Linked DNA regions of Rattus norvegicus. Each later gene encodes a partner of the first gene's protein in a complex. Links are inferred from orthologs where the notes say so. Each region holds a gene or a part of one and is shown in the gene's direction. Other genes may lie near its edges. The genes, in order: Dhx16, Scnm1 and Srrm1.

Evidence for each region.
Region 2: Dhx16 (region 1) and Scnm1 share a complex: the UniProt entries of both Homo sapiens proteins name them as parts of the minor spliceosome. The link is inferred for Rattus norvegicus from reciprocal best matches to the Homo sapiens genes DHX16 and SCNM1.
Region 3: Dhx16 (region 1) and Srrm1 share a complex: the UniProt entries of both Homo sapiens proteins name them as parts of the minor spliceosome. The link is inferred for Rattus norvegicus from reciprocal best matches to the Homo sapiens genes DHX16 and SRRM1.

The regions. Positions count from the first base shown.
Region 1 is NC_086038.1:2,873,209-2,876,855, reverse strand, and holds part of Dhx16 (pre-mRNA-splicing factor ATP-dependent RNA helicase DHX16), read left to right. Parts: intron 1-85; coding exon 86-340; intron 341-447; coding exon 448-651; intron 652-732; coding exon 733-927; intron 928-1,036; exon of another isoform or gene 1,037-1,244; intron 1,245-1,508; coding exon 1,509-1,619; intron 1,620-1,728; coding exon 1,729-1,844; intron 1,845-3,062; coding exon 3,063-3,273; intron 3,274-3,447; coding exon 3,448-3,546; intron 3,547-3,624; coding exon of another isoform or gene 3,625-3,647. UniProt on the Homo sapiens protein: Required for pre-mRNA splicing as a component of the spliceosome. Contributes to pre-mRNA splicing after spliceosome formation and prior to the first transesterification reaction.
Region 2 is NC_086020.1:185,391,415-185,395,161, reverse strand, and holds the start of Scnm1 (sodium channel modifier 1), read left to right. Parts: upstream 1-1,339; 5' UTR 1,340-1,450; coding exon 1,451-1,501; intron 1,502-1,553; exon of another isoform or gene 1,554-1,606; intron 1,607-1,719; coding exon 1,720-1,790; intron 1,791-2,052; coding exon 2,053-2,141; intron 2,142-2,237; coding exon 2,238-2,332; intron 2,333-2,436; coding exon 2,437-2,525; intron 2,526-3,747. Other genes in the region: Lysmd1 (lysM and putative peptidoglycan-binding domain-containing protein 1), read right to left, coding at 360-539. UniProt on the Homo sapiens protein: As a component of the minor spliceosome, involved in the splicing of U12-type introns in pre-mRNAs. Plays a role in the regulation of primary cilia length and Hedgehog signaling.
Region 3 is NC_086023.1:152,854,844-152,858,490, reverse strand, and holds part of Srrm1 (serine/arginine repetitive matrix protein 1), read left to right. Parts: intron 1-2,642; coding exon 2,643-2,723; intron 2,724-3,083; coding exon 3,084-3,170; intron 3,171-3,647. UniProt on the Homo sapiens protein: Part of pre- and post-splicing multiprotein mRNP complexes. As a component of the minor spliceosome, involved in the splicing of U12-type introns in pre-mRNAs. Involved in numerous pre-mRNA processing events.

The DNA.
Region 1 (3,647 bases):
TTGGAGTTTTTTTCACACTCCACATGCAGGGAACAGTGTTGTGGCACTGGTAGGATGAGGATTTGACTGTTCCTTCCTGACCCAGGTCCCTGAGCTCCGTAAGAAGTCTCGTCGGGAATACCTGGCAAAGCGGGAGCGGGAAAAGCTGGAGGACCTGGAGGCAGAACTGGCTGATGAGGAGGTCCTGTTTGGGGACGTGGAGCTGAGCCGCCATGAGCGCCGGGAGCTCAAGTACAAGCGGCGTGTGCGGGACCTGGCTCGGGAGTACCGGGCGGCTGGCGAGCAGGAGAAGCTGGAGGCCACTAATCGCTACCACATGCCCAAGGAGACTCGAGGACAGGTGAGGGAACCGGTGTGGTGGCTGCTCCCTTCCCTCTCCTGTTCATAACTGGTAGAAGCAGTGGTGGGGAGGGTCTTCTTCAGCTTTCTCGGCTGCTCTCCCCGTAGCCCGCTCGAGCCACCGACATCGTCGAGGAGGAATCAGGGGCCCCGGGCGAGGAGCAGCGGCGCTGGGAGGAGGCCCGTCTGGACGCCGCATCCCTCAAGTTTGGGGCCCGAGACGCTGCTGCCCAGGAACCCCAGTACCAGCTGGTGCTGGAGGAGGACGAGACCATCGAGTTCGTCCGTGCCGCTCAGCTCCAGGGCGACGAGGTGAGAGGGAGAAAGTCCGGGGTAATGACAGGAGGGCCTCTCAAGGTGGTGGGGACCTCAGCACCTCTGTCCTTTCCTCAGGAGCCGTCATCAGGCCCGCCCCTGTCAGCCCAGGCCCAGCAGAAGGAGTCCATCCAGGCCGTGCGCCGCAGCCTGCCAGTGTTCCCCTTCCGAGAGGAGCTCCTGACCGCCATTGCCAACCATCAGGTCCTCATCATCGAGGGCGAGACTGGGTCAGGGAAGACCACACAGATCCCACAGTACCTCTTTGAGGAGGTCAGTCGTTACAGCATGTCACTTAGGGCCCACTCAGCCCTTGAGTCAGTCCTGGGAGACCCCCTTTGTGTGATGGTAAAGATGTCCTTTCCTGTCCTTTCTGCTAAGTCATGAGGCTTTTGAGACTGACGAGGCCACTCTTTCTACCATTTTGTTCTCCCCGCCATCACATCCATACCTGGTACGAGTTGTGAACGTGCAGGTCTCCCATGGGAGCAGTGAGATGAGCATCATAGATTGGAACCTCTTGGGCTTCCATCCCGCACGACCTCGGCCCTGCTTTCCCTCTGCAGGGGCCAGAGAACTAAAAGTAAAAGGTGTTTTCCTACTGTTTAACCGCATGTCTCCCATTGCTTCTGGGTATGCCTCGGCCAATCTGTCCCTGGTCAGTTCAAGTCCAGCAGAGCCCTGCCTATAAGCCAAGGTCTGCAGGCTGGCTTAGCATCCCCGGGGGCCCTTGGCTTCTCTCTTGTCTGTCTGTCCTTCTCTGGCTTTCATCCCATCTGTTCTCCTTTCCCTGCCCTGCCTGGCTCACAACAGCATGTCTAACAGAGGAGTAACCCCTCCTTCTCTCCTCTTAGGGTTACACCAAGAAGGGTATGAAGATTGCTTGCACCCAGCCCCGGAGAGTGGCGGCCATGAGTGTGGCAGCCCGAGTGGCCCGGGAGATGGGGGTGAAGCTTGGGAATGAGGTGAGGTCTTTGGGGATTCGTGAGAGGGAAGCTTCTTACGTTGCTGGCATGGCCCCACACCTCAGGTCTGGTCATCGGTCATTCCAACCTCTTGACTGTCTGTGACCAGGTGGGCTACAGCATCCGGTTTGAGGACTGCACATCAGAGCGAACTGTTCTCCGCTACATGACAGATGGAATGCTACTCCGGGAGTTCCTCTCTGAGCCTGACCTCGCAAGTTACAGGTGCGTGCATGTGTGTGTGTGCGTGTGTGTGTGCGTGTGCGTGCGTGCGTGTGCGTGCGTGTGTGTGTGTGTGTGTGCGTGTGTGTGTGTGTGTGTGTGTGTGTGTGTGTGTATGCTTTGCACAAGATGCCCCACCTCCCCCTCAGAGATTCTCGCTTCCTTTAATCTCTCTCTATTCTAATGGGTCCAGGTGGCCCTTATCTGTTCTTAGTGTTTTGAGACAGGGTTTCTCTGTAGCCCAGGCTAGCCCGGAATCTACTATCTAACCTTAGCTGGCCTCAGTCTCGTGGGTCACATTGCTGAGAGTACAAGAAGAGCCACCAGGCCATGCACTGTTTGCTTTAAGTTCTTAGTTCCACTTCTTCCAGTGAGAACAGCTGTCTCTTGACTGATCCAGAGATGTCTGACTTGTTCTAATCCTAGGTTAAAGGAATCTAGACTCTTCCCTGCCTCTTTGTTCTTTTATATTTGAAAAAGAATTGTGTGTGTGTGTGTATATGTGTGTGTGTGTATGTATGTATGAGTGTGTACTTATGGTGTGTATATATGTATGTATGTGTGTATGTATGTATGTATGTGTATATGTGTATGTATACAATTGTGTTTGTATGTATGTATGTATGTACGTGTGTGTATGTGTACACGTATGTGTATGTATTTGTGTGTATGTATGTGTATGTATATATATGTATGTGCATTTGTGTATGTGTGTGTATGCAGTTGTGTATATATATGTATGTGTGTATGTGTGTACATGTATGTATGTGCGCACATGTGCATATGTGTGTATATATGTATGTGTATATGTGTGTGTGTATGTGTGCACGTGTGTATATATTTGTGTGTGTGTATGTGTGGACATGTAGGGGATCAGAAGACAGCTTATAGGAGTCAGTTCTGTACTTTCACCATGTGCATTCGAGGGATCAAACTGAGGTCGGCAGGCTTGGTGGCCAGCACATTTACCGCTGAGCCATGTTACTAGCCCCGTCCTGACTGCTTCTCTTGGCCAGTGCCCGGATGGGCCGCAGATCACAGAACCCCCCACCATGCTCACCATCTGCCAACATTACGTAATTGGAACATTTGACTTCTCCTTAGCCTCCTCCCACTCAGTCCCCTTTCCCCCTGAGGTCCCTCCATCCCTCTCTTTGATCCAGCCCTGCACTGCTAAGCCCCTGCCGCTTGTCCCTCACCAATCTCCCACTTTCTCCCCAGTGTGGTGATGGTGGATGAAGCTCATGAGCGGACCTTGCACACAGACATTCTCTTTGGATTGATCAAAGATGTTGCTAGATTCCGACCTGAGCTCAAGGTCCTGGTGGCTTCGGCCACACTGGACACTGCTCGTTTTTCTGCCTTCTTCGATGATGCCCCTGTCTTCCGAATCCCTGGACGCAGGTTTCCAGTTGACATCTTCTATACCAAGGTGCCCCTCGGGAGGATGGGCTTCCGTGTGAGGCAGAGGAGCTGGGGCTGGCTTAGGAGGATGTCCCAATGGAAGGGTCTAATGGACACCCAGAGAGGGGTGGGCATTGAGCAGGGACAAGAGCCTGCCTGAGCAAGTGGCCCTTCTGTGACCCTGTGTCTTCCTCCTTCCCAGGCCCCAGAGGCTGACTACCTGGAAGCCTGTGTGGTGTCTGTGCTGCAGATCCATGTGACCCAGCCCCCTGGGGATATACTGGTGTTCCTAACGGGACAGGTGAGTACTGTGGTGGGAAGTGGTTGGAGTGTTTCGGGGAGGATGGGGCTGGTGTGTGGGTCCTATGACTGACTCCAGGTCTCCTGCCATCCTGCTCCATA
Region 2 (3,747 bases), on another chromosome or scaffold:
AGTCACTCTCATTATTTTTCCCCCTGCTTGGCTAATAGCATGGGCTTTAGAGTCAGACAGACCTTTCTTCTGACACTCAAGTGATTTGACCTTGATCAAACTGGTTTATCAGTCTTAAGTTGATAGGGGCACAAGGTCTGGTTAATGGCTGAAAGCCCCGCCCCCACTCACCCACCTTCACGGGAGCTGCTCCTCCCACTGGGATAGCTGGGCAGATCTGGCCCAATAGTACTACACAAAGATGTGAAAGCAAAATAAGAAAAAAACAGGCCATAATATAATTTGGGTAATGTCAGAGGTGGTTGCTTAGCGGGCCACCCACTTTCTCCTGGGGACTACCTCAATCCTGGAAGACTCACCGTCACCCCGTATTTGAGTGCTAATCCAGCCAGGGTGTCTCCAGGCTCCAATTGATGCTCCAGGCGTCTTTCCCTCACTGGGGAGCAGGATGATTGTACCAGGCTTCCATAAGAACGAGCACGGCTCCCACGTAGCAGCCCTGACCCTCCGAGGGGAGGCTGTCTAGAGGGCGAAGCCATCTCCTCACTTCCAAGATCTAGGGTCACAACTGAGGAAAGCCCAGCTAAGTGACCAACAGTGACGGCTGAACCCAGAGAATGGATATTCAGAAAATTCTTTTTCTCTTTTCTCTTCAGTCTCCCGACTCTCGAGAGACTACATTCGTCCTCCTCCTCTCGATGCTTCTTACGGAGCTCGGAATTACAGTTCGTATCTTAAGAAGTCTTCCAGGCCGGTTACATTTCTTCTTCCTCAAGCCCCTTACCCATAAATATCTTCCCTGAGTTGTCAGTCGCTGACCCCGTGGACTTTCGACGCCCCCTCCCCAACTCCTCGCAAGCCTGATCTCTGACCTTTGAACCCTAGACACCCTCATTAACACTCTTCCCTCAGTGTGTCCCTACATCCAACAGTCAGGACGCCGGGAGCCCCCACATCCTCTCTGTTCCAAATAAAACCCACCCCAGGTAGGTTGTGGCTGAGGAGGACGAGCCTGAGGACTACAAGTTTGCAATATAGAGTCCACTGAGATCCCCCGAAGCCTCCCTCCACCTCAGGAGGGTCCCACCCTGAAATTCCGGCTCCACGTACAGGATCTTGGGTCTCCAAACACCTGGATCCTTCGAGATGCGAGGACCTGTGTCCAGGTGAGCGGTGTTCTCTCCAAAAAAATTAAAAAATAAAATAGATAACCAAAAGACTTCATTTCCCAAAAGGCACAGCGTCCAGGCAGTATCATAGGAAATACAGATCCCCTCAGGGCGCTGGAGGCGGGTCTTCCGGCTTGCGCGATGCATGCGTGGAAAAGCATCCCCGGAAGTACAGACTCAGAAAGAAACCGGAAGCAGAGAAGGCGATAGTGTACTCTTCCTACGGTGGCCTAAAGGAGCAGCGAAGTAGGCGTAGAATTTATCATATTCTCATAGTCGCGATGTCTTTTAAGAGGGAAGGGGACGACTGGAGTCAGCTCAATGTGCTCAAAGTAAGCCCTAGTGAGAGTCACCTGATCACCTTCAGCCGCCCTGTTGCTTTGGTTTGTTGCTTTGGCGACATCTAGGGGAGGGTGTTAGGGGACCAGAACTGAGAGGTGACCCCATTTTCTACCCTATGATCTGCATGGCCCCGTGCCATTTGACTCCTCTGTATTATTTAATATCCATCCGTTCCTCTCATTCATTTCTTCTATCCTGCTTCCTGCAGAAACGAAGAGTTGGAGACTTGCTAGCTAGTTACATCCCCGAGGATGAGGCGCTGATGCTGCGGGATGGACGGTGAGAGCGAAGAGTGGATCAAGCCTGGGGATTCGGGGATCAGAGGCTCAACAAACTTTTGTTACTAAGGAGTTCAGGAGTATAATAGTATTCTTTGGCTGGAAGTGAAGGGGTGGAGATTGGGAAACCTGGGAGTTGGAGGAGTGCTATGACAGAAGTAGGATCTACTCACCATAGCAAGTACACCGCGACTGCAGGCTGGAACACAAAACACACGCGCACACGCACACACACTTATAATTCACTTTTCTTGTTTCCCTAGCTTTGCTTGTGCCATCTGCCCCCATCGACCAGTACTGGACACCCTGGCCATGCTGACAGCTCACCGTGCAGGCAAGAAGCATCTATCCAGTAAGTTAAGAGAAGTAGGGAGGGCGGGAGATAGAGAATGAACTCTTGACATTTTGGCAAAATCTTTTCATTCTCCCTTGCTTTTCTTCTTCCTAGGTCTGAAGCTTTTCTATGGAAAAAAGCAGTCAGGCAAGGGAACAGAGCAAAATCCACGACCGCAGAACGAACTGAAGACAGAAAGCAAAACTGAGGTGAGGGCATCAGTGTTGTTTAGACGGGGCTATACTGCACGCAACAGGCATGAGGGGCCATTTGCTTCTGACAGCTTTGACTCACTCTCTTCTCTCATTGTCAGGCTCCTTTGCTAACCCAGACTCGAATAATCACCCAGAATGCTCTACACAGAGCTCCCCACTATAACAGCTGCTGCCGGAGGAAGCACAGGTCAGTGGAATGAGAAAGCCAGGAGTGGAAAAGGGTAGAAGCAAATAGATGACTTTAAAGTTATTACTCTGCAAACTGTCTTCTGAGAAATACTAATCTTGTGGAAATTTTTTTTTAATGACAGTTAATGATTTTAAAATAAAACTTTAGGAAATGGAATATTGTAGCATAATCCTACTTAAAAATAGTAACATTAAGGGTTGGTGAGAGAACTCAGTGTTTAGGAACATAAGGGGCTCTTCAGAGGTCCTGAGTTCAATTCTCAGCAACCACACAGTGGCTCACAACCATCCATAAAGGGATCCGATGCCCTCTTCTGGTGTGAGGATGTACATACAGACAAAGCACTCATATTTAAAAATGCATAAATAAATACATTTTTATAAAAAGAGGGGGCTGGAGAGATGGCTTAGTGGTTAAGAACACTGACTGCTCTTCCAGAGGTCCTGAGTTCAAATTCCAGCAACCACATGGTGGCTCACAACCATCTGTAATGAGATCTCATGTCCCCTTCTGGTGTGTCTAAAGACAGCTACAGTAGACTTATATATAATAAATAAATAAATCTTTAAAAAAAAAAAAAACTAGTAACATTAGCAGGGAATGGTGGATGGTAGTACACTTTTTTGTTCCTTTGTTACTGAGACAGGGTCTCTCTTTGTTGCCCTGGCTATCCTGGAACCCTGCTATTTAGACCAGGCTGGCCTAAATTCAGAGATCTGCCTGTCTCTGCTCCTCAAATGTTGGGATTGAAGGTGAGCAGTTCCATGCCTAGCTTTGGAAAGTCTTAATACAAAAACTTAGAACTGTATTTGTCAGGTTCTCTAAAGTCACAGAATGTATAGAATGTCTCTCTATAGTGAGGGAATTTATTGTGGTGACTTACAGTCTACATTCCAACTATCCCAAAAAAGGGTAGCTGTGGATGGGAAGTCCAAGACCCTAGGAGTTGCTCAGTCCCATGAGGCTAGTTGTTTCAGCTGGTCTGCTGTGGACGTAGATTCCAACAGATGTGCTGGCAAGTCAGTGCAAGCAGGTGAAGAAGAGTGAGTCTTCCTACTTCCAACGTCCTTATGTAGACCTCCGACAGAAGGTGTGGCTCAGATGACGGTGTGGACCACCACTCCTGGATCTGGGACTTGCTTTGTTCCAGGCTGACCTTGAACTCAGAGGTCTCCTGGCCCGTCTCCTGGGATTAAATGCCTGTACTACCTTGCCTGGG
Region 3 (3,647 bases), on another chromosome or scaffold:
TGCACCAATTTATCCTGTAGGGATAACCACTACATTTTCTTACAGCCAAACAAGCCACTTTGGTCCTTTGAGATAGTAACTTTGGTGGGGGGTGTGGGGGCTTTTGTTTGGTTTCAATTTGTGTCTATAAAGTCTTTATGTAATCTAGACTGGCAGTCCTGTCAGTAATGTGTTCTGTGGTAGGGAATATATACACACTATGCAGGTGTCTACAGGCCAGAAGATGCATCCACTCTGGAGCTGCAGTTAAACGTGGCTGAGCTACTCATGCAGGTACCGCAAACCAAATTACATCCTCTGTAAGAGCAGCAAATGCTCTTGACCACTGCACTGAGCATCACTCCAGCCGCTGTTACTTTATGAATTTTAGAATGTCAGGTGTTCAACACTCTGTGCCCAATTCAGTAGTTTGTCCAAATAACTACTAGTTGGGGTTGTCAAGTACAAGAATGTAACTCAGGGACACAGGGCTTGCCGGGAAGTTACAATAGTGATTTCCTCTTTGAGTACTCTAGCAGAGAGTGTTAGATCCAGTTCTCATGGCTATGTCCTGGTGTCTGTGACAGGATTTATAGTATTAAATAAGTCATAACTATTCTAATCAGTTTATCAAAATTCATTTAGTATATAAAACAACTAAGCCTTAAGGGTTTGTTTCTTTGATGGGCCTTTTCAAGTGGCCTTTGAAGTCAATCCATGGTAAAAGTAATGATTATATTTTTATATACTTGGTTGTATTCAAGATTTATTTTACGCTCATGAGGGTTTTTCTGCATATCTGTGAGAGTACCACATATGTACCTGGTGTCCACAGTTCAGAAGACCCCAGATCCATCCCCTGGAAGTGGATTAAAGCTAATTATAAGCTGCTGTGTGGATGGTCGGAACCAAATCCGGGTGCTCTTAACTATGGCTGAGCCATCTGAACAGCCCCATGGGTGCTCCTAAGAGGAGAGAATGGTCGTGAGATCAGTGTCCTGAACACAGAGTCTTGGGTTCCTAGTCCCAGTTTGCTCAGTTGTCTCTGTGTTTCTCAATGTGGTGATGTAATTTTACTTAAAGCTTCCAAAGAACTCTTCTAAAAGGGGGTATGAGAATGAATAGAATCTTATTTTAGCAACAGTGTTTATTAGTATACATATCTGGGTTTGGTGGTTCATGTGTGTAATCCTGGTTCTCTGGAGTTTGAGGCAGAAGGATCACTGTGAACTTGAGGCCAACCAGGACTAGGTAATGAGACCTGATTCAAAACAAAACCCAGGTATATATGTCCCAGGAAGTTTTCAAAAGACATACCATAATTTTCCAGTTGATATGAGGTCCTTGTGTGGTTCATTCTCTCACCAGAGTGATTCTACTTTAGAAAACCAATTTCCCTCGTGGGAACTTAAATCTGGTCTGGCTGTCTTATGCTGTACGGGCAGCCCCAACCCCTTCCTTTCTCTTGGGCTTTAGGGAGAGCCCCTTCTTCACTCTTAGTCTTTAACATCTTCTGGGTATGGTGAAGGTTTTGTGTGGCTAAGGAGCCTTTGGCCTCTTGGTTAGATAGCCAAATACTCTTTCCTAGACCAAGTAACTTTTCCTGCGTGAGTTTTAGTCTTTAAAGTAGAGCAGGTGTAGGTAGGTTCATTAAGGAAAATTAAGAATGGAGACTCCTGCAGTGGGGGGGGCCTTGAAGGAAGAGCACCCTGGTCCATCTTGGTTTCCTTTTTCCTGCCAGACAAGCTCTGGCACTGAATGTACGTACGTACATACGTACGTACGTACGTGTGTGTGTGTGTGTGTGTGTGTGTGTGTGTGTGTGTGTGTGTGTTTGCCTTTGCCTTTGCCTTTGCCTTTGCCTTTGCCTTTGCCTTTGCCTTTTGTTTGGTTTGGAACAGCATCCCAACCCCACCTTTGCTCCACTGAAGGAGACTTCCGAGAGTCTCCTGTAGTTCTCTTGGGAAAGGCTGGAGATTTGGAACTGGTTGCCCAAGGTTTTTAAGTTATTACCATTATTTTATGTGAATGAGTTGTGCATGTTTGCAAATATGCATGTTCCCACGTCTGGTATGCATGTGTCCATCAAGGCAAAGACATTTTTTTAATGTACAAGTGGGGGTTGGGCCTATGGAGTTGGTTGCAAGTGCCCCTGGAAACCAGAGGCACAAGATCCCCTGGAACAGGAGTCACCTGTGTTTGTGAGCCACCAGTGTGGGTGGTGGGGGCCACACTCATCTTTTACAAGAGCAGAGTTCAATCTTGACCACTGAGCCAAGGCCTCCAGTCCCTAGAGAGCAACATAATTGTTTTTGTTTTTAAAACAGTTTTTGAGAGTTGATGATTCTCTTCTACCTTGTTGAGGCAGGGTCTCCCTACTCTCTGCTGCTGTGTGTATTCAGGCTAGGTGGGCCACAAACTTGCAGGTTGGTTCCGCATCCTCACCTCCCACTGCGCTTGGGGTCCTGGGTTACAAGTGTGTGCCTCCAGCTGATTTTACTGTGTGGGCCGTGAGCAGTCAGTGCGGGGTTCTCGCTAGCCCTGTAGGACTAGTTTTTGAGGCTTTCTGTGTTAAATTTTTCATGTGAAGAGTCTGACCCATTCTTGTACTATTAAAACATTGTTCTTTTTATTGTGTGAGGTTTTTTTTCTATATTTTTTAGTGACAAAACATAAAGGCACTGAGAAAAGAGAGTCACCTTCTCCAGCACCCAAGCCTAGAAAAGTGGAGCTGTCTGAGTCTGGTAAGTTGTATTGACTTTCTGGAGATGGTTTTTATCTTTCCTTCCATATGTGACTATTCCCTGGGGTTGGAGATTCATTGTACAGGACACCACAGTAGGGAAGAGCTGAAAGTGACATCACATAGACTTTCTGAGATTCCCAGCTCCAGCCTTTAACTGTGCTCTGTTTGGTCTAAACCTCATTCTTTTTCTTCAGTGTTTAGACATAATTTGGGGTCTTGACAGCTAGCTGGAGTGTTTGCAGAATTGATGTCTCCTAGACTGACCTGTGGTAGTGTAGCCGAGTGCCTGTTGTGTTGTACTGCACTACGTTTCCTGTGTCTAACTAAGAAGCACTTTCCAAACATACCCATCTTTCAGAGGAAGACAAAGGCAGCAAAATGGCTGCAGCTGATTCTGTGCAGCAGAGGCGACAATATAGACGACAGAACCAGCAGTCTTCATCTGGTATGGACAACAAGCAAATACTTTGTACTCTCAGACTTGTGATAACCGTAGCACTGGGAAGCTAGGGCAGGGGAGTTCCTGTAGAGTGTGAGGCCAGTGAAGGCTACATAGTGAGAGTCCCCAGAAGAGCGAACAGGAAGACTCCTACGATGCTGTCCTTCAGAAGGTGAAGGCAGGAGGGCGAAGTCCAGTTACTCTTGGCTGTGTGGTAAATTTGAGACCAGCCTGGACTACATGAGACCCTGGTGTTCCCCCCACCCCCTTTAAAATTTTATGCATATTTGTGTTTTACTTGCATGCATTGTTCCCACCATGTTTATATCTGGCCCCCACAAAGAAACCAGAAGACAGGGCATCAGATCCAGTGAGAACATGGATGGTGGACACTGTGAGCCACCACGTGGGGGATGGGGATCAAACCGAAGCAGCCAACTCTCTTAACTGCTGAGGGTCTGAGTGTTTGCCTTCATGGATTGT